3 linked regions of the Mytilus edulis genome follow. Each later gene encodes a partner of the first gene's protein in a complex. Links are inferred from orthologs where the notes say so. Each region holds a gene or a part of one and is shown on either strand. Other genes may lie near its edges.

Evidence for each region.
Region 2: syntaxin-18-like (region 1) and vesicle transport protein SEC20-like share a complex: the UniProt entries of both Homo sapiens proteins name them as parts of the SNARE complex. The link is inferred for Mytilus edulis from reciprocal best matches to the Homo sapiens genes STX18 and BNIP1.
Region 3: syntaxin-18-like (region 1) and BET1-like protein share a complex: the UniProt entries of both Homo sapiens proteins name them as parts of the SNARE complex. The link is inferred for Mytilus edulis from reciprocal best matches to the Homo sapiens genes STX18 and BET1L.

The regions. Positions count from the first base shown.
Region 1 is NC_092347.1:80,145,137-80,152,867, reverse strand, and holds the start of syntaxin-18-like, read left to right. Parts: upstream 1-4,055; 5' UTR 4,056-4,339; coding exon 4,340-4,489; intron 4,490-5,644; coding exon 5,645-5,712; intron 5,713-7,663; coding exon 7,664-7,731. Other genes in the region: TM2 domain-containing protein 2-like, read right to left, coding at 3,793-3,929. UniProt on the Homo sapiens protein: Syntaxin that may be involved in targeting and fusion of Golgi-derived retrograde transport vesicles with the ER.
Region 2 is NC_092347.1:13,288,986-13,296,743, forward strand, and holds the start of vesicle transport protein SEC20-like, read left to right. Parts: upstream 1-4,471; 5' UTR 4,472-4,553; coding exon 4,554-4,634; intron 4,635-7,758. Other genes in the region: ectonucleoside triphosphate diphosphohydrolase 7-like, read right to left, coding at 4,018-4,025. UniProt on the Homo sapiens protein: As part of a SNARE complex may be involved in endoplasmic reticulum membranes fusion and be required for the maintenance of endoplasmic reticulum organization. Also plays a role in apoptosis.
Region 3 is NC_092350.1:69,796,419-69,804,871, reverse strand, and holds the start of BET1-like protein, read right to left. Parts: upstream 3,288-8,453; 5' UTR 3,241-3,287; coding exon 3,213-3,240; intron 1,215-3,212; coding exon 1,129-1,214; intron 586-1,128; coding exon 529-585; intron 1-528. Other genes in the region: dual specificity protein phosphatase 3-like, read right to left, coding at 7,080-7,282, 7,939-8,150. UniProt on the Homo sapiens protein: Vesicle SNARE required for targeting and fusion of retrograde transport vesicles with the Golgi complex. Required for the integrity of the Golgi complex.

The DNA of each region.
Region 1 (7,731 bases):
CTGAGCACACTTGGCCTTACATTGACAGAACTGGCAGATTTGATACTTTAGTCCCAATGTTAACCAGCGCATACCCTTTTAAAGCACAGAGAAGAAAAAACATTGAGCAAAACACACGGTTGAGAAAACCTGCACATTGAGATAATTTTTTCCAACAGGCCTTAAGATTGAGGATTGACCTCCCAAGTATGTTGTACGTCAACCACAATACACATGTTGGACCAATCATTTGGATCATATTTCAGGAAAAGAATATCTCAAAATCTCTAGGGATAATATACACCTTATATATGCATGTTATGGCTATTACTGGCTGACCTGAGGATCGGTGCCACTTGAACTATAGACGTCATACATGTACAACAATCACTTTTCAATTGTGGTGTAACGGTAGTCACTTTGTTTTCTTGTTTATTCTATTTATTTGGGGAAATTGGTTAATATTAGTATTACTTATAGTTCCGTAACTCTTTCTCCCGAGACTGGCAATGTAATTATTCTTGTCAGGACTTCCTGCTTCTTGCACGTGCCTGACATTGGGCCCTGCCGGGCTTGTTGTCCCTAGGAACTATAAGTATGAAGTCACTCACCAGGTTTGTGGCAGTCTACACTTAGGATTTGAAATGAGCAGAAGCTCATACTGTTTTGGCTTTCAAATATGGAACTTTAAACATGTTAACATGGTTAAAAGGACAAGTAGACTAGCCACAACCGTATATTTTAGTATTTCTTGTATGTAACTTATAATTCAATCATATGTATGTCTTTAAATAAACATCTTGTTTATGTTAACATGTTTTACATACTTTGTCCAATATCCCAGCAGAACTTGGGTAGACAACAGGAAGACAGCGAAGCCTTCTTCTTCTTCTTCTTCTTCCATATACAGTTCATACCACCATCTGGTGTATTATCGAACTGATGCGTGGTGCAGACAAACCAATATTTACAGTGCAGTTAAAAAATAGTATGTACAGTTAAAAAATTCGCACAGTCCTTAATACATCTTGGTCTTCTGCAACTCACACTTGAATGTGTCAATTGAGTTGCAGGCTACAGTAGTTGGTGGTAGACTGTTCCATAATCTGATGGCGTCTGGGAAGAACGAGTACTGGTAAAGCTGCGTTCTTGCGAATGGAACAAGGAATCGTTGGTTGTGTCCTCTTAATGTTGCTGCTGTTGGGATTAAGCAGGATGTTGGTATTGCAACCAAGTGGTTAACTATGCGGTACATCATTATAACTTTATTCGTTGCTCTACGCTCTTGTAGGGTTGGCCATTGCAGCTGGTGTAATAGGTTTGTTACACTAGTGGTTCGGTGGTAGTCACCAGTAACAAATCTTGCTGCCCTACGTTGTACCATTTCCAGGTTGTGGATGTTGTTTGCTGTGTGTGGATCCCAAATGATGCTTGCATACTCCATCTGTGGTCTCACAAGGGTCTTGTAGCAGAGTTCCTTGGTCTTTCGTGGGCATTGTGATATATTTCTCTGTAGAAAAGCCCTGGTGTTGTTGGCTTTTCTTACTACTTGGTCTATGTGAGTAGTCCAGTTTAGTTTGTGGTGGATGTTGGCCCCCAGATATTTTGCACATTCTACTTCCTCTAAGACGTGACCATGGATGATATATGGCTGTCTGATTGGTTTCCTCTTGTTGGTAATCAGGGGCTAAAAAATTTTGTTACAGCTAGCTAGCCCAGGACTTATTGGCAGCAGGATTTTACTAGCCCTGTTGGAAGAACTGCTAGTCCATAAAAACTGACCTGCTAGCCCTAGTATGCCTTAAAAATTAAGAGTTTGCTGCACAATACAAAGTAGGTGCCCTTTGTTTTGAAGGAGACATTATACACTGTATTTAATATTTTTTGTTGATCTGTTATTATTCTTTTGGTGCTTAACCTAACTAAGTTGTTCCCACATTCAAAGCAGACTTTTTATTGGCTAGCTTGGGGCAACTAACGGCAATATTCACAGAGCATTGTCTGTTTTTTTCATCAGCAACAGCCAAGGTAATCATTGTGTCCCAGTTCTGCCAACTTTTCGGGAAGTGAATGCGTTTTTTGTTGGCCAAATTGTTAAGATCAAAGAGAAAAAACAACAGATCAAAGGAAAATGCCGCCAAATAAGCATGAACATGTGTGAGTCTCGCGCTAAAGACTTGACAGCCCTGCTGTCCTGGACGCTATTATTGTTTTTCCGCGGTTTAGCATTTTGGGGGGGATGAATTTTCAGCCTCGTTACTCCATTCATCTACCGTTTTTCGTTTAGAAACTGACAAAGTTCCTAGGGTTCCCGTACTAATATATTAAGAAATATTTTGTTGCATAGTTTCGTGCTCAAGAGCTGTGCAACAAGACATGTCAATACCAATCAATACATCATACCCTCAAATAACGTTAATCGAAAATCTCGGCACGATAAGCAATGTACAATACCTCAATCAATGGTATGAGAAATCGATATTTAAAGTACGAGAATCAACACATGATACCAGGCCACCCAGACATGCCAGAGTTATTTGTTCTATGTTTAAAATATGTACAACAGGACCTGTACAAACCAGTTCAAATTCTTGGATCCCGGATGACTTAATTGAATCGAAATGGCTAACATAGAATAGTGATGAAGGGATTTTTCACTTTCTATTTTGGAAACGTCAAGAATTTTTTGTTACTAGTCCGTCGGGCATATCGGATTACACATTTTAATTGCCCGAGGCGTAAATGATCTAGTCCCGGGCGTCGGGCTAGTGGATTTTTTAACCCCTGGTAATGTGAATGACTTGGCACTTTTTGGGATGAAATTCCATGAGCCAATCATTCTCCCATTCTTGTAGGGTTTCCAGATCTTGTTGAAGTAGTTCTGCATCTTTGGTGTTTTTTATTTCCCTGTACAAAAAAAAGCCAGTGGAAACTCCACCCCCGTTTCAGTGGCGTCAGATAATTTGTATTATGACGTCGAAATTTTACGGGAACCTGTGTGATTTCCAGTAATAGTAGTAGCAATAAGGTATATTTAATTAAGGGATGTATGTATGTTCCGTATCTCCCTCCTTTAGTAGGAGCACCACCATGGGTTATGGTGTAAAAAGGAAGACATTTAACACACTGTATCGATACAGATTTAATGTGAGCATTTGCCTATCCAGTTTCCCAGCCTGGCCGTGACGGGTCTTACTACCAGAAAGTTAACCTTCCCCAAAACAATAAGTACAATGTAATAAAGCATACGAACACACCCACTCACCTGACTCACTCATCCTCAAAAATATAAAAAATGCATATTATAAAAAAACATTATATACAAAATAAAGGATAAGGTCACCCCGGATGCCGCACAAATGCCTAGACAACGAACGGGAAACCGGAGAGGACATACTTGGAATCCAAACCGATACCGCTAAATGCCCAGCTGTATTCCTGGTAGAGGAAAGCCGAAAATCCTATGATAAAGGATCTCGGAAAGAAACTACCGATCCATTAGGGGAACAGCTAAAACCCTCAGACATCAAATAGATTGGTCTGATAGTTTCCCACATGGAAACTACTAATGGATCCCATCTGACTACATGTCTCAAACAAACCTGAAAATATCTGCAGAAATCTTTCTCAACAAAAAAAATATAATCCAAATCATAAAATATACGATGTAAGGATAATAATATTTATCCATGAAATCAATTTGACAAAACAATTTCAATGATGTTGAAGGATTGTCTCTGCAAAAATTTTCACGTCCGCTCTCATCGGCATGCTCGACAGGATGTTCCGATTATTAATTTTAAAACCACTTACAAATTTGTACAAAAAACAAGTGGTGCATGAGGGACGTAAAGCTCGTCACATTTGTCTTCATAACATTCTTCTATGTCAATACTTGAAACAGCACAGAGTAAAACTATAAAATGAAGGCAAATGTCCGTCTTAATCATTTTGGTTGCTAAACTTCTACATTTTCATTTTTTGTTTTTCTTCATTATTATTTCAAAGTCATTTATGTTCTTTTTAATCAAATAAAAATCGGTACTTATTTCAAACGCAAAATCGACATAGATGCACAAAATCTGAAGACCAAAATGTTGCTATAAGTTGCCAACATATTTTTATTTTATTTTCAATCATTGTAATAAGTATCTTGCATAAATAAGATAGTTAATGATATATTTTTTGCTGTAAGTGGCCACACAATTCACGTCATACTACCCAGTAATAATCAAGTAAAAATAAAAATAAGTTCGTCGTTGTTGACATATGAATCTGTGAACCGAAAAGTGCCAAGTTGGAAGCATATATATATGTAACCTGTCACACATATTGTTTACCTTTTTCTCATTTCAACACAATGTCAGATGTTACTAATTTATTTAAAGCGACAGTCAAAACTATAAAAAGTAGAAATAAGATTTCAAAGGAAAATGGAAAGAAAGAATTTACTAATATTTTCCCTGCCACAAAACAGAGGAGTGATTTTGAAAACACAGCAAAAGGATTGGTAAGTATAAGGGGTTTCACTTCTTATTGGTGACAAGAAGGCTAATTAAGTGTAGAAATGACAAAACAGATTTAATGTAAAACAAATAAAATTTTAATTATTTCAAATAAATAAATATAAACAGACAGTGCATTATAATTACAGCTCTCCAACATCTTCAATAGGCGCTCTATCTCTCGTCAAGTTAAAGCGAGAATTGGTAACTTTGTCGTAACCATACAGATATCACTGCAAGATGTTTAAAAAGACAATATACTGCTGATTTTTTAACGTTATTTATAAAAGCTTGTTCTGTTAAGGTTCATTGATCATTAAACAAATGGACAAATTTGACTGTTTTTTCACATCAAAAACTACTCTGTGTACAGACTTACCTGTGCTGTTTGGAAAGTTTTAAGGCCTAGCATCCACATGTATATAAAAGTTAAATGCATTTAGTGTTTAACCCTTTCCTCCATAATAACGCCTTTTGACGCCACCCCCTTTACTCCATAATCTTTTAATGACGCCTGTGTAGTACCTCAGTTGAAACGCTATGTCTCCAAAATGTCTGCATCAGACTTCAAAAAAATTTATCCAATATGAAAAGGAGATTCATGAGAATATCTGACTTGAATTTCATTGATCACTGAAATATTAGTTTTCACAATGCATTAACACTTTAAACCTGATGATTTTTTTTACTGAAAAAAGTCCTATGCGAAATCAAGTATTTAAAAAAAAATATCCATGGAGTAAAGGGTTAAGAGAGATAAAATCTTTCTTGGTTTTTGATGGGCATTTTTTTTCCTTTCTGTGAAAAAATTAAATTTTTCAATATCTTGATTTTTTATGTCAATTTTCACTGAACTAGTACACCAGTTGAGAACCACCTCTGGTTGCAGAATTTTCTTGTTGCGTTGAAGACCCATTGGTGGCTTGTCTGCTCTTTGGTCAAGTTGTTGTCTCTTTGACATATTCCTCATCATGCCCATTTCCATTCTCAATTTTATTTTGACTCTTATTGTTTAAAAAAAAGCAAATCTTTATCAATTTGTACTTTTAACATTTTAATGGTATTTCAAGATTGTGTAAAATAATTCTGATATTACCTGAAATGTTTTGATTTATAACCCACATTGAACAGTTATTTTATAGTTTCAATATTCTTCTTAGGTATCAACCATTACACAGTTGAAAGATTTTCTACTAAAGCACAGAAAGGATTATGTAAATGCAGGCAGGTAATTAGATATGACAAAATTATTTACCGCTACACATATACATTTGTAGAATTATGGAGATGTGGTCGAATTGCCAATGAGACGACTTTGCACCAAAGGTAAAAAAAAATGGATGTGAGCAATTATAGGCAACCATACTTATTTTAACAATGATGTCAAAAGGGATTGAAAAGTTTGCCAAGAGTGATCTATGAATTATCTTAAAAACATAGGCACACATACATAGAGATACACCATGTACACATACAATAGTTAAAATAAACAGAATACAATAATTTTTAGAATTAAGTAACACCAGTCTAAATTTGAACATAAATCTTTCCCATGGCTTTGAGAAATCATTGCACATTTGTTCCAGTAAACAATTTGTCTTAACTGGACCAGACTCTTTTTTTTTATAAGTCTTTTACACACATGAATCAAAACTACGGTAAACATTGGAAATTGTGTTGTTGTATGAACATTTCTTCAAATGAAATAGACAAAATGCCGACTGACCAATTACAATGTATATATATTTGAATTAATTAATGTGGATGATCATTAATGACCCATTCGATAAACAGATCTGTAACAACAGATTATGACACCTGTTGTAACTGTTGATTAACATGGGGTTGTAAACAAAGTCATAAACTTGTCGCCAGGTAAAATTTTGTAGAATTTTTTTTTTTTTTTTTTTTAACTTTTACCAATTAAAATGAAGATCAATATTGTCAAAAGAAATGAAAATTTTCACATGTTTTAAATGTTGGGGCCAGAAATATCGCCAGCAGCTGTTTTTGTCGCCCGATGAAATAAAACATCACAAATTGCGACATTGACGACGCACAGCGCAGTCCCTGCATGATTAGGTCAAAACTTAAATTTTACTTGCTATTTGGTTCAGTAATGCATATCTCTTTACTGGATCAGACTCATTTTTACTAAACTCTGCAATCTTGGGAATGACTGCTGTGTGTTAGTTAGATTGTGGTTCATATTCATATCACATTTACATGTTATGATCTTGAATGTAATCAACAGATTACTAACAGAACATTAAACATCAGTCAATTCAAAAATAAGCATCTTGCTATATTTAAACATTAAATACAGTTTGACATTCATAATCTCAATGTTGAGCAGACTGATAAAATATTTTGAGATAACCGTGAAAACATAATGTAAATCTGGCAAGTGTGTAAGACATTTTCCTTGAAATAACAGAAAGGAGTATGTTCAGTAAGACCCCTTTTTGGCCCCAAAATATAGCAGTTTTAGAAAATTGTGAAAATGTAATCCATAAGCTTTATTTTGGAAAGTAAAATGATTCTGCTACATAAATATGAGCTGTTTTTGACAATACAATGCACAAATATTGCGTACTGGTATCATAAAGTCATGCTAAATTACTGGAATCTTCCAAATTTTAGAATTTTGGTTAATTTTTAGACGGTTTCCGTCTAAAATGAAAGTGGCCGCATTCGTGTTCATTCATAATATTGAAATGTAAGTTGTATTTGATGATAATACAAATCATATATAAAGGTTGAGGATGAACACGGATGCAGCCACTTTCATTTTTGACAAAAAACATCTGAAAAGTGACGTTTTTTTTGGCATATTTGATAGATTTTTCATATATATAAGCTTGAATCAGAGCGTTTTTAATGATTAAATCAGTTAAAATCTTTCACACAAACTAATTGAATCAATTGAAATAGACACTTACCTGTTTAAAAAGTGTCCAAAAGCTTTCGTTAGTTGAACCTGAAATTTAAGTCAAAATCGGCCCTTACCGGACCTACTCCTTTTGAGTTGAGGGAAATTAACTTTAACTGTGTAAAAAACATAGTCATGGTTGTATACCCAAATATATATCCATTTATTTGCATTCTCTCAAATATGATGAATGTAACAAAACTTTTTGCTTTTAAATATATGAAACAAATAATTGTTTACTTTTCAGTTTCTTGTCGTCAGATGTATCATCACTTACAGACACAGAAAGAGATCAGATTGATACAGAAGCTCAAA
Region 2 (7,758 bases), about 67 Mb from region 1:
GCTTATTCCATGAAATAGGGGTTCATTTTTAAAGAAGTCTTTGACTTTTCACAAAAAACAACTTTAGTCTTACCTTATCATTTAGGCATTGTATCAAAATAACAAAAACAAATATACCTGGAAGTGTTTTTTGTATTTCGAGATGACAACATTTGAAGAAACTTAATAAACTTTAAAAACTCAGTGAAACAAAAAATTAATGATACATCTAATATCATATAATTATATAAATTTCCATTGAAAAGGTTTTTGATTTACCTGTGTAGAAGAAAATCAATAACATCAAACCTTTTTTCTACATGTTACTTATAAGGAACATGAAATTCTAGTTTGTAAACATGTAAACATTACATTTTTTGTATATTAACTGCTGGCACTCATTGTAGTTTATTGTGTTAACATTGCAAAACATCATGTCTTTGTTATGCTTCTTTTATTTGGATGATGTTAGTTTATAAACCAATTAAGAATTGAACTAAGTGTTGAGTGCAGAAAAAGTTGAAATTAACGTACATGTACATGTATGCAAGCCATAAAAGTGGAAGTGAAAAGTATAAAAGTATTTAAATGTGTCTGATGTTGTGAAAAAGTGTTCATTCAATCAGACATAGTTTTATAATAAAATACTTTTAAATTATGTCCTGTAAAGGTTTATTTTCAATAAGAGGACATCACAGTCTGCACCAAAAACTTTTTCAACTACTAGTCTGAAGATCAATATTCTGACATTTTTCATATTAGTTCAAACAAAGTTTTGCAAAAACTTACTAGTCCGAATGAAATTTTAATAGTTTGGGGCATCGAACTAGAGGCTAACAGTGCAGACTGCATCATCTTATGGTGTTTTATATACATGTATCTCAACTAGTTCAATTCACTTGTGTATATGTAACTGTGTATATGATTACAGTTGTATAACGAAAGAAATCTCTGTATTACTTGAAAATTATTACACCAGGATTTTTCGATATCACAAACTAGTCAAAATATTTAATAGATTTTACCATCAATACAACATTGTACAAGGATATCATTCCTAAACATAAATAAACATGCAGACATCTCATACATTCAGGTATTTCACATCCAATCTTTTAAGGTTATATTCTTTATAAAGCACAAAAATGTCTGCATTCACCTCAAAGGCTAGCCAAACCTTTAAACAGACTTATTCAGAACATGCAGGAGGGATATTGTTATGATACTGTTTTCAGGTCATTAATGATGGCATATATTGGTATTAATTTTGATTGACTCGTAAGGTCTTTGCATTGGAAATATGGAGGAACAGGAGAGATTGTACTTGATTTTCATATAAAGAAGACTTATTTGATAATCTTTCAATCAGTTTAATTGTGGTCTGGAGCAGGCATGAAAGTAACTGCTAGTAGTCCTTTGATAAGAGGACAGCATCTAATGGTCCTTTGATAATTTATGTATCATTGTCATTTTGCTGTGTTTCTTTTGTTACCTTTTCTGACATTGGCTCAGACTTCTTTTAAACTGACTTTTACTATGCATAATCATGATAATGTTGTGCGATTCTTTATTCTACATTTGCTAGAGGTATAGCAGAGGGTTGAGATCTCACAAAACATGTTTAACCCCACTGCATTTTTGCGCCTGGCTAAAGTCATGGACATGAGTCTCTGGCCTTTGTTATTCTTGTATACATGTATGTTTTTTTCAAATTTTAGTTCATTTATATGTTTTGAAGTTTAGTATGACATCCATTTTCACTAAACTAGTACACATCTTTCTTAAGAGGCCAGCTGATGCCCACTCAGGATGCAGGATTTTCACACTGTGCTGAAGACCCATAGTTAGACTTTGGCTGTTATCTGCTCTTTGGTAGGGTTGTTGTCTCTTTGACATATTCCCCATTTCAATTCTCAATTTTACAACATGTACATGTAGTTATGAACTAACTAGGAATGTAGCACTTGGATTCTAAGAAATATGGTTTAATACCAGGCCTGGATTTGGACAAGGGCAAACTCTAGTCTAAGTGGTACAAACTAATCTGCATAGATCTACATTGTTCATGTACATGCTCAGGGGCCGGTATCATAAATGTGTTTGGGCAGAAATATGTGCCAGTCCACTGGTATGCGTTATACATTGTGTTAATAGCACTATTAACACAATGTATTATGCATACCAATTGACTGGTATACATGTATTATTTGGCTTTTAATGTCGATCCAGCCCTTTGTCTATCTGTCACAAGTTTTAGCAATCATAATCTTGATTGAATTGATTGATTATACAACTGGTGTTACTATAGTTCACGATTAAAACAAACCAGTTATAAATAGAATAATGATTTTATTTAAACAAGTCATTATAATCATTACATTGAATTCAATTGAAAAACAGTACCAATTACACTTAACTGGTTTCAACTTAATATACATCATGTACATGTAATCCATCTGAATATTACTCCAAGGATTAGGCATACTAACTTCACTTGTCATCAAGCATTGATACTTTTTACATAAATCCATATGGGGTCTCACTAATTAGCGACAAGAAGTGTCAAGAAGCGATAAGAAGCGACAAGAAGCTATTTAGCGACAAGAAAACATTTTTTTTTATTAAATATAAAAAAATATTCATTTAGTCATTTTTAATATATACGGGCAGAAATAAATTGATAATTTTTTGTTATTATATTGATAGATGAAGAAATGAACATTTGTGAGGAAGGGATTGTGTAGTTTTTAATTATATGGGGACGAAGTACCCTACATGTATTACAGTAGAAAATTCAATAAAAAAAAAATTTCATTGTACTAATGAACTCAAAATCGTTCAATTTTTTTTGTCGCGTTTTTTAATTTCCAGATCTGCGCAGAAAGCATAACTCTACTTCCTTCTTCTGGTCTTGTTGTCGTGAGACTTTGATTAGTCTAGTAAAATATAGGAACTCAATACCAATATTTCATTTTTAATCATTCTTTGTCTTTGGTATGCATAAACGTTACCTGATGCATTGTGTTTCCCATGTTTACATTGAACATGACGTCATACATGTAACTTAAATAATGTCACAAGTAAAATCCTTAACAACAGAACCAAAATCGGAAACGTTACCATGCTGAATGCCTATATGACAAAATGAGAGAAAATCTAAGGAAATTCAGCTACATGTAATTACAATATGATAATTTAGTTACTTTTGCTTAAGTCATTATATGAAAAGTCCATTCAGGGTTATGGTTACGGTATTTCCCTTTCTTTTTTTTAACAAATATTAAGTTACAAACAAATTAATTTAAACAAACTTCGTCCCCATCAACAGGTAATGCCTGCCTCATATTATTGATAGATGAAGAAATTAAACATTTATAAGAGCAAAGGAAATGCACACGCTATAAAATGAAAATAAAAACAAAGATTTTTCACCTTTCCTTTGAAGGATTTATTGAAACAATTACATGGAATATTATTTCCTTTCTAACTGTACAATTCATTGTCCTGATAGGACCAACGTTAGCTGTGGCTTCACCGAAGGTAATACACGATGTAGAACTTCAAATGAGATTAACGAGGCGCGTGTCCTTTGTTTTATTGCTACAATAACATCCAATTAACACAATATCATGTAAATAAATGTAGCAACTGAATTAAAAATGTAGATCTATGTCTATTTTTTATTTCTACCAATATTAACTTTCTTGTCCTTAAAATTGTTTTCATTTAAATATTCTTTTAATATTTATTTGGAATAAGTAATTTTAATAAAAAAAAATGTTTTCTTGTCGCTAATATTATTCTTCTTGTCACTAATTAGTACATATGTAACTAAATCCTCTGAAGTTAATATGGATTATTAATATTTTTATTATGGGTCCGTATCGACTTGGGGCCTGATCAACCCTTCACCTATATTCCAGACCCAAAATATCTGTTACACAACCTTTCTTCAGACAATGTTGAAAATTGAATGTAAGTCAAGTGTTGTGATTGCCAAGTTAGTGATATTGTTGCAGATAATGAAAAAATACTCACCTTCCCATATAAACTACAGCTCCTTTACAGGATATATAGAAAACAACTGTCAGTGTCAAAAGTGGTAGAAGGTGGTCTGGTGGATTCGGTCTGGTTAAATGTTACGCACGATCTGTTATGCTTCCTCTGTTATTGTCTTTATCCAAAAATCAGAAAGTAAAATATAATGCTTATTCTAAAAATTTGCATTTCTGGTTTTAGATGTTGCATTAAAACATAGTTTTAAATATAGTTTGACATGTCAACGTGGTTACTCTTCCAAGCCGGAAGTAAACATTAACGTAAGTGTCTTTTGCTTTATTTTTATTTATTTTTAAAAAAAATTTAGAAAAACAATTTTATTATTATTTGTTCTGACCAATTTGTGTTAAATTACTCTTAATACATATATCAATAGTTTGTTTCATATGATTAAGTTTTGTTCTTCGGGTTTCCCATTTGCGACAACTAACAATCGTCATTTCTAATGTTTACTTCCGGACACATGTCAAAGTTATTTTCGTTTTGATCACAGCTGGATTTTGTTGTTTTGCTTCATGGCTGCTGAAGACATCCAAGTTAGAATTTGTCTCCAAGAAATAGTAAAGTTAGATTTAGAGATCAAAGCTTGTATTCAGGTAAAGGTTTATTCTGGTCACATCTTACCTTACCAGGAAATCTTTCTCCGTCCACTTCGGGACAACCTCATTTGAGTAGTCAATATTCCACCACCACATCTATGTACACTATTTTACACACATTATCGGTAATTATATAATACACTTGAGTACGGAGATATCAATGTTTCATATTATCCTCCATGCATCACTGAATTAGCAATGTTTAAAATAATTTCCACATTATACGAGTATATACAGTTCACTATTTGACAGGTATGCTCTCGGCACAACAACAGTATAAATACGGGAGTACCGATGTTCGGAACATGTTATAAGTTCATAACAATGAAATATCCTCATTTCCTTTTAATATCTAAAGATCGGTATCTTGCTATATGTAACGCATACACATTTGCCTGCATATTGCATCTAATTTAACAATATTTTCACTATTTCCTTTAAGTCCAGTATAGTACAACGTACAGTCCAGAATTATTTGGATTTTATCATGACTGGAAAGTGTTCTAAGGTTGTCTTTCGATATTAAATGTAATATTTCATCGATCTGGTGAAAATATTTTTGTCGGATAGGTTCTAGAATTTGACAGTCCAACAGGAAGTGACAGAGAGTTTCATCGCCTTGATCACATAATTTACAGATCGGAGTTTCGTTTTCTGTATATCTAAATCTTTTATTCTGTAATATATAAGTGCCAGTTACTAATTTTAATTTAATTGCCAGTCTTGTTGTTTCTCTGGTCGGATCGTTAGTTGTATTTATGTCCAAAAGATGGTGAAATTCCCCAGGATTGTATGCGTCTATATTAAGATGTCGAAGAGACATATAGCTTTTTCCGGATGAAATTATTGCTTCTTTCCAGTATTTATAAACGGCAATTTGGACAGTTCTCTTCCATTGAAACTTTTTTGGCGCACAGTTTAGAAGTTGTAACGGAGATGGTAGTCCATATTTAAATATCATTTTCTTAATTGAAATAAACCAGCTGTTGCTCGATTGATCTTTGACGGTTAATTGTCTAATAGCCAATTTCTTTTCTAAATTTGAGTTGTCTTGCCTACATATGTTATTAAATAATATTAGCGCTTTTTGGTCGATTTGTGCTTCTATAGGTAAGAATCCGGATAGGATGTAAATACTCGGATCTGGTGTACATATCGGTAAAGACATAATTCTCTTAAGCAACTGTTTTTGGAACTTTTCTAATTTTAGTAGATTTGATGAAGTAGGTAATATAACTTCTAAGCCGTATGTAAGAATAGGTTGTATAAAGGTTTTGATTAGATGTAGTGAGGTAATCGGATCAAGTCCATTCTCACCATGCAGTCCTGCTGACATGAGACTGTAGGCGGCTCTCCTAGATTTAGTAATGTTCTGGTCAGTGGTTTCATTTTGAGAGTTTTTTGAAGATGTTGATCTAAGAATTCCTAGATGAGGTGATTTGTCAACGATTGGCATAGGATTTTCGTTCAAAGTTAAATTGACTGATTTAGACTGTTTCTTGCGGTTAGATGGTTCTATTTGTAAGACAACACTTTTTTGAGGCTGTAGTAGATAGTGATGGTTTTGACTATATTCAGCAGCTATATTTATGAGAAGTTGTAGTTCTGCTGGATTTTCGCTCATCAAGGCAACATCGTCCGCACAGGCTATTGCATTAACAGAGGTTTCTCCAATTGTGCATCCCTGTGCAACATTTTCAAAATTATGAAGTAAATCTTCAATATATATTTTATACAGATCTGCACTGAGAAGACCTCCCTGTTTAACTCCCTGTTGGACTGGAAACTTTTCTGAATAATCATTTGCCCATTTGACGCATGCTTCTGTGTTTTTATGTATTTCATCAATTAATATCCAAGTAGCTGGATTGACATCGGTGAAGTGTACTTTCCGTAGTAGAATTTTTAAGACCACAACATCTAAGGCAGATTTCGCATCCAGTAAAGCTATAAGAAATGGTGATTTCTTGTCCATATTTTTCTCTATATACTTCTTCTACTATAATTGCTGCATACAGTGGTGAAGCATTTGCAGTGAAGCCTCTCTGTAGTACTGACTGTAGATTGAGAGAATGTTTTCTTAGATCATCACGTAGTATGTACTCAATTATTTTTAATAGTATTGGTAAAACAACTATACCACGGTAGTTCTTGGAGTAAGATTTGTCTCCTTTGTTTTTGTAAACTGGTGATAATAGACCAATCTTTATAAAATAAGGAATCAGCCTTTTTTGAAACATAGTATTTAATAAGTCAAATATTGTTAAGCAACAAATAATTGACCAGAATAAAAAAGTCGCAAATATTGACTCCTATAAGTCGATAAGTGATCAAAATTGGTTAACTTCAAGACCCACGCATATTTATAAGGAGGTCATGCATCTAAATCAAATAATGACAACAGTGAAAGACAATGCTTTGTCTTCTAAAGAAAAATATGAATGAGAGTCTAAAAAATCGGAGATAATGTTAATTAACCTTACAATGCAACCACCTGGAACTACACTTAATGAGGAAAAACATCTGTGTTTAGTAAGGATGTTCAATTAGACAATTACATATAGATAGCTCAAGTCCTTGTGAACTCTCAGACAGGTTTTTGCTGTCATATGTTGTGTAGTTTGGCCACCAAGTGAAATTAAGTTTTTTCATCAACATAAATAGACCTAAACAAGTCTGTCATTTTATGACTTACATGTAGATAAGTCTAAAATTGAAAACACATTTTTATGATAAATACATGTTTTGACTTCTTTATTGTCAAAAACAAAAATCGACTTGTTTATGTCTGAGCTCTGACTGACTAGAAGAAAAATAGCTCTTTCATAAAGCCATCTTTGAAAGAGTTGCTATACCTATTCCAATGCACATTATAAAACCAAGAAGAACTTCGAGACTCCATCAACCGAACACTAAAAGATATGTACAAATCAGGCCAAACAAAGATATCTACAAATACAGCTTTTTCCCTAGGACCATCAGAAACTGGAATAAACTACCAGATGAACTATCAGAAATTGAGAGCAGTGAGGAATTCAAGACCAAACTCACCAAGCTCCTCTGTAGTGGCTAAGCAACACAAACAATAGATACTAGTAGAAAATGTTTTTAACCTGCACCT
Region 3 (8,453 bases), on another chromosome or scaffold:
AAAATGGCTGCAATACTTTTAACATGTAGTCTATGCAAGACATCTAAAGTCAATAAATCATGACTGAAGGTGCAGGGCTAAATAATCTGTTAGGAAATGAGCAAGGCTAATATAACTGCATACCAATATGCTAGTAGTGGTTCAATGATGAAAAATTCTAAAACAAAATACTAGTAAGAAAATAAAAGATATAACAACATGGTTTTAGATTATGGAAATTTATCATCTTTCTACTAGAGAAAACAATGCCAGTCTATTGCTTGCTATGTGGTATTGTGGGTTTTGCTCATTGTTGAAGGCCGTACACTTCCATGTCATTTTGTCTCTGTAGGAGAGTTGTCTCATTGGCAATCATATCCCATCTTCTTATTTTTATTTTAACAGCAAAAGACAAAATGACGTTTTTAATCAACATGATAAAAATTGTGAGAAAACAAGAAGATTAGTTGGAGATCCAGATTTGGGGTTCCAGCAGTTGTAGCATTTTTTTAAAATGGCTGGATCCGCCCCAGAAGATTTAGAACCTACCATGTCATCCAAGTATCTGTTAGAGTCTTTTGATTCTGTTTCTATATCAAACGCAAGCTGAAAATAGTAAAATTATGAAAGAGAACTACCGGTATATAAAAATTGAATCAGTAACAGATTAGAGGGCCTACAACTCCTCTGTTTGAAAAACATATTTTTTTATCATGTTATGCATATAATCTTCCAGTTTTGCTTTACTTGCTTGCTATATATATTATCAGTTTCATTCAATAATTAAGTGCTTGTATGCACTGATGGGTACAAATTGCTTAAATTTATCAGTGGGAAGCGAAATTAAATATTACATTTTATAAAGAATTGAATTTAGTTGATTCAACTACAATTATTTGGAGTGAGGAAGGTTAAACTTCAATTGTAAAGCTATCTTCAACAATGACAAAAATATGATATTTTAGAACAGATATTAGATTCATGCACCTTGCACAAGTTACAGTAAATTCAGAAATTTGAATTTGAAGTTTGAATTATTGCAATTATAACATGTACATGTATAACACTGTCCAATTTTTCGCAATAATGAAAACATTGCAATAATTTCTGAATTTACAGTATTCTGTATTAAGTCAGGTTAGCACATACTGATTTCAGTCTTGATACTTTGTCTGATAATCCATCAACTCGTCTTTGGTTTTCAGAATCAAGCATTTCTTCTGATCTAGACAATCCTGAAATGTAAAAGTATATGGTCAATTTAAAAAAAATTACATGTCATTGCCTAGGGCCACAATTATTTTGGTTTGCCCAAACCCTACCCAAACATGTAGGTAGGCATTTTCTTTTTTTTTTGGAAAAGAGAATTTATCAGATGTTTATAATTCTTCATGGCTATCAGAATGAAAAAATATTTTCACATCAGGACAATAAAAGATTATGAGAAGGCAGCTATTTTCTGGGTACATGTAGGTAGGGTTAGGGCAAACACACCTATTCTTTTTTATGGCCTAGTTAAAATGGTTTCTAAATCTACATGAATGTATGTATTCCATTCTACCCCATTATTAATCAAGGGTATACCTACATTTGTACATGTAGAAATACTTTTTGAAATATATTTATTTCTTGGCAGGCACTCTAGCAATGTCTAGACTTATATATTTATTAGGAGAGTTAACTCATTTTTTTGTATACTACCATTTTATATGAGTAACTGTAGTAAAATACAAAGGAAATTTATAAAAATTGATTGCCTGAAATACATATTAAATTTACTTTCCAAGCATTTGTTAAGCTATATTAATAATACTATTTACATGATTTAAGAAAGATATCAAAATTTCCTTAAATCTAGTTATCAAAGAGAAATTAAAAATTTAGAAATAAAACCATAATAAACATACATGTACATCATTTTATACATAGTGCAAGTATATACATTTCTAAAAGCTTGTACAAATTTTAGAATCATCTGAATGAAGAAACCATATGCAAAAAGTAAAATCACAAAAATACAAAACTTAGCTATAGAGGAAAATCAATTTGAAAAGTCCATAATCATGATAATCACATTGCAAAATCAAATGACAAAACGCATCAAAACCGAATGTACAAGAACTGTCATATTTCTGACTTGGTACAGGCATTTTTAAATGTAGAAAATGTAGAAAATGGTGGATTAAACCTGGTTTTATAGCGCTAACCCTCTCACTTTGATGAGTACATGATCATTTTTTGTAAATTCAGAAAGGTATTATCTGTAATGACCTGGTACATGCTATAGAGTTACATGTGTATCTATTTAACTAATAAAAGAATTCAAATATCGGAAAAATATTCAACTCTTGACGGAACAACATTGATAATTAACTCATGCGCTACACTCATTTGTGAATTACAGTTGTTCAGTCACCTGTTGAATATTTTTCTCCACTTGAATTCTTCGATTAGTTATTCTGTAATTATATTTTTCTTCAATGGGTCCCAAATGTAATGGTCATAATAGTATGATATGAATACACCTTATAGATCTTATACATGTAGTTACATGTATTTGTTTTGTCCGCCATTACATGTCATCACACAGGTTCCTGTAAAATTTTGACGCCATAATACAAAATATCCGACTCCACAATGGAAAAGTGATTGTTGTGTGACGTCAATAGTTTAAGTAGTACAGATTCTAAGGGCCAGCCAGGAATAGTGATATGGTGTATTGGGGGAACATTAGCACGCACACGAAACCAAACATGAGTAAACGGGAAATAAAACATCAAAACACAAATAAAAAGGCGGAAAACGTTGTACGAAATAACTCTTAACCGCCCTCTTAGAGTAAGGGTTATAGACAATTATGACATATCAGGCTTTAACACTTTCATGCAAACATGATCTGGATACATACATCTGAGACTACTATAACACTGTGTGATACAAATGCTATAGTAGTCTCAGCATACATGTACATGATATAGGAAGATGTGGTATGAATGACAATAAGACAACTCTCAATCCAAGTCACAATGTTTTGATTGAAGAAACGAAATAAAAAAAATGACGCAGATAACTATGGGTACACTATTGTGCGCGAAACGAGCGTTGAGAGCTTTAAAGCTGCTCTCACGAGACGTCAGTAAATCGACGGCGCCTTCACCCCGTTGTATTAAAGCCAGAATTGGTAGCTACGACGTAACCATACAGATACAGACAGAGACGCAGATAACTATTACCATTCCGGTTGTTCCTGTTATCTGTCATTTTTTTTTCGGAGTGTTGATGTGTCAAAATCTCCAGCAAAACATTTGTACAATGTCAAAAATTATTCTAAACAAAGAGTGATAGATTGCGATTAATAAAACGTTTCAATGACATAACTTTTTCATTTTTAATACTTTATCCGTTCTCGGATAAAAGGTTGAAAAATTTCCGGAAAAGAATAACATTGATTAGACACCAAATATTACAGTGTGTTTTTATATGCCTTTTACATGTTTTATACACCTTTATTCTAAAGATGGACCACATTTCCCCCTATAAAAACAAGATCGCAAATAAAATATAAATTATTGTGTAGGTATAGTGAAGACTGTCATATAACCGATTGGCATTCACGGTATAAAGTTTTACTCAGTAAACTGACTATTTACCAAGAGGGTACTTAATTGCTGACGAGTTTTGCACTTTTCGTTTATTTAAGATCTTTTTCATTAGATTTATAATCAAAAAGAAATATGAAACATAATCTCCTTAAATAACAAGAAAAAGAGCCCTCAATCGGACACTCAGCTGACGGGTCCTTAAAAGTTTTATTTATAATATGAGGAAGCTGAGACTACTGTGTTAAAACAGTCTCAGATTCTCAGGAGGAATTAAGGCGTTATCTTAACTTTACCAGCTAATGAAGCCAATATAATTAACTATGTCCTTACATACAGTTTACGGTAGTTTTGATCTAAAATAGAATAATAAATTGGAATATTTAAGTTAAGGGTCCATAATGTTTTGTACTGAACACAATTTTATTGGCGATTTATCTGAATGACAATGCTTACATTCATTATCTTGTGAAATTTTCATATCCATTTTTCTTTCTTTGCAAATGTTAGAATGGTTGGCGATTGATCTGGTATCTCAAAAAAAGATACCTCTGATATCAATAATTTAAATAGAATCATATTCAAAACAGTGTGGCTGTGACTATTGATTGACGACCTAAATTATCCCATTGACTGGGACAGATTATGTGAACGTTTGTCTGTAACGACCACTGCTCACTGTGTACTTGTTAAAGACACTTAAACTGTGGGGTCACCAAAGGTTCTCAATGCCTGAATAAAGTAATTCGAAAAGCTAATCAGGAATAACACGATGTTTTGATTTATATCAATAATATAAATCAAAACATAAAGGTTATTTCTGGTTAATTTTTCGAATTATTTTAATATTAAAAACTTTAAGAACCTTTGGTGATCCCACAGTTTAAATTCTATAATAAGCAAGTAGTGAGCAGTGGTCGTTACAGACAAACGTTCACCTAATCTGTCCTAGTCAATGGGATAATTTAGGTCGTCAATCAATGTCCACAGCCACACTGTTTTGAATATGATTCTAAGATCTGTTCGGATTTTTTTCTTTCTGAGATCTGCGATTTTTCAATGAATGGAGACATAATTACACTCTGGCTAAGACCATCGAAGCATGCACGTTTAAATCCTGCCTTTCGAGTTATCTTAGCGCTGTTCTGTGTTTTGCATATTCAGTGTTCATGGTGTTCGTCATCTGTGAAACAGATACTCCATAACGGTCATCCAACTCATTATGATCTTCGTAATTTTTTTGTAGGCATGACTTTAACTTCACCATTTGGAACTATTGGTTAACACATTGTCGAATTGAGTCTTGAATTACGTTTTTTTTCAAAAATTTTCTCATTTTTTTTGTCTGATATTTTAATAATTGTAATATGATGGCTTGTACGTTATCTTAATAATTGTATTATGATATGATGGATAAAGAAAATTATGCTTTCACTGTTTTGAGCTAATCATCTGTTCAGCAAGGCTAAAAAAAAGAAGAGTAGTGATCGATATCAAGTCGAAAATAAACTAAGATTTCTAAATTGAATTGTTCCAAATTAATTTTATTTTCTGTCGGGATCTTTATAGCAATACATTAAGGTAAGGGTTTTTCTCATTGATGAAGCCCGTACATTTGCACATAGTTGCTCATTTTACTTTATTTAAACTTTTTATGATAGTTGTCTCATTGGCAATCACACCACATCAGTCTCATTACAGCAGCACACAAAACGCAGAATCGATGAATCTAAAGAATGAGCACCACTAACACCCACTAAAACCGGGGTGATCGCAGGTTCTCCGGAAGAATAAACTGATCTTTCTCTACATGTAGTTCCAGTCATGTTGCTCTAAGTTCAATATCTACGCATGATAAGTCTAATTGGGTATTTACATTGATGGAAAATGAGACCGGGGTTGTGTTTACGATGATCGGAACATATTCGTTGTCGGTCTGTGAAACTGATATGCCATATTGGTCATCCAACTCGTGATGGTGTCTGTTATTTTTTCGTGGGCATGACTTTATAACTTCACCACTTGGAACTTTTGGTTATCACTTAGTCGAAATCTTAATCAACTCCTGATAGGAATTATGTCCTTGAATGACGGTTTGTTTTTATATAATTTTTTTTCCGTTTTTTGCCTGTAATCTTTACTATTATGTTATGATAGATAAATAAAATTATGCTTTAACTGTATTACGCTAATATTCCGTTCAACCAGGCTATAAACAATGCTAAAAAGGTCAAAATGTTTTATGAAAGTCCATAAAATGGCAACTACAAATAATAGAGAAAATCTATCTCTCCCAGGCCATGCGCAAACACCAAATTTAGTTTGAATATCATAAATTGCATTTGGACATGCTAGGCTTAACACTCGTCATGAAATATCATTGAATCTTGTTTTATACATTGTATTCCCTTTTCTAAACTCATCAGACTTTACAATTTATTTGTAGTGTATGTTTTTAATTGCAATTTATATCGAACCCGTATCAGAACTTTCGTATTTGTTATTTACGTGTTGGTGTGAATCTGAAAATAGCATTGAATTTTAGATTTTCGCCTATTCATTGAATCGAGGAAGTTGTCGCCGTCCTATTTCTCTTATTCATGAGGAAAACACCTTGCCTATTTCTCCGAGTAAAAAAAAAATCGTCAACTATTTTTCACTGGACGTCACGTACATAAATCATTAATCAATAAATAGACAATATAAAATATGCGTATTTTTAACCTAGAAAACAGTCAATATTTATAAATTCAATCCATCAACCATTAAACGTAACAACAAATCGACCAATACAGCGGTTCCAACCACTCGATATAAAGAACTTGTCACTTGATACATTGCAAACATTTTATAACCAACAAACCAACCAACCAATCAATCAACTAAAATTGTCTATCATATATTACACTCAGGAAATATGGAATGAATTTCTTTAACAATTGTTTATAAAACATACATTTGATACACAAATGATTGTATACATGTTCGTTGGTAGTAATTTTACAAAAGCTGCTCCTGTACCTATAGACATCTAATAAATCAATAATAAGACCATCGACCATAATTCTTAAGTATATATATATATATATATATATATATATATATATGGCTTATTATACTATGAAACACATGCGTTTGAGTCATATTTTTATTTATTTACATACTTAAAGCAACAAGTATGTTTTGGTCAAACTCCAATTAAAATAGTGTCACATAAAATTGAGGTAGCTTATACAAATAGTAGCACAACTAATTCATACATAAGAATAAAATCTTATGTTCTACATTCTCAAACTAGAGACATGTAATACATACATGTATATTATATGTACCTGCCCAAACGACTTGTTTGAACAAGAACTCCAAACGTTTAGGTATGCAATGGCAATGTATTGAACTGTTCTTTTTACCATACTGCATGCCTGCATGCGCACTAAAGTAAAATGTAAATGCAGCCATATGTTTTGTATGTTTTCTTCCAATATACATTGTATATGTTATCTATTTGTGCGTAACTTTGTCAAATATTTCTTTATTCAGAATACACAATTGCATAATGAGACCGTTGCTAGGACACACTTTACGACATCTTCTGATACACTTTACGGCATTCCAGATAGGCAACTGTTCCTTTAGCATGAGATAGGCAATTGCCATTGCGGGCGATTTTCGGACTCCGCCTGAACAGTGAACCAAGACTTTACCTGCAATAATAAAATGGTATTGTATTTTTCCCCTTAGATACAGTATATGAAACAAAAAATATCGTATAAAGTGTAAGTTTGTTTAGTTATAAAATATAAAGGGTCGCTATTTGATATCAGGGGGCAATGGGGTCCAGGAAGAATTTTTTGATGACGAAACCTTTGTTTTCCATTTCTAACACCCGCTTTTATCTTCCACAGGTAAATATGATTATAACATCGTACTAATTTTGTTCACAACTTTTGCAAACTTGCTGAATTTGGTTTTCCAGACTTTTCATTTATATGTAACTCAAAATGAATGATCACAAATTTGAAATAGAAAAGGAGGCACTGACTGCCATAATAGGAGCCCCCTACAGACATGCTTCTGTGGTCACCTATATAATCAACAAATGTTCCCCACAAAAAAGGGGGGCTGGAACAGCCAATGCTAATTTTTAGATTTTATTTAAAATAATAAAGAAAACAATTAACTAGCTGTCGATAATTTTGCTCGTGTATATATAGAGAAACAGATACCGTTATACCCTGAATGATAAGTAAATTGCATCTATTTTTAGCTTGGTTTTTACTTTCATTTATAGCTCTCACTTGATAGAGTACCTGAATAGTGTACGACACAGTAGGAAAAAAGTCTGAGTAGATTAGCTTACCTCCATCTTTTATTGTGTCCTCTATCAGGTCCGCACCATCTTCAACAATATTCAATAAGCATGTGTATACGTTATCATCCGAACTTAGTGGACAGTATTTTATGTCATAAGGTTCATAAATTAATGGGTTCGTTTTCACTTCATTTGGAGATAGATTTATAACTAGATTTATCCCAAGTTCCTTTAGTTTTGTCGCATCCCGTGCAATAACCCTGAAAAAAGGAATATGGAGTTATAAAACATTGTGAGATAAATTGTATTTTGTTTTGGCTGTTCTGTTTACTTGATTATAAACATCCCCTGTTTGGTATCCACCGAAAAACAGTGGCGTAGCTGGGTCATTTTTACGTGTACGCCCGAACCTTGGCGAGGAATATGAGGGTAGCCAACCGCTCAATGTTAAAGCACCTGCTGGTAGTGGGTTCGAAAGGAACGTAGCCCCTGAAAGCTATCGAGAATGAGATACCGTAATGATTCCTGTCAGTAAAAAATCATTGATAACAACATACTTTTAT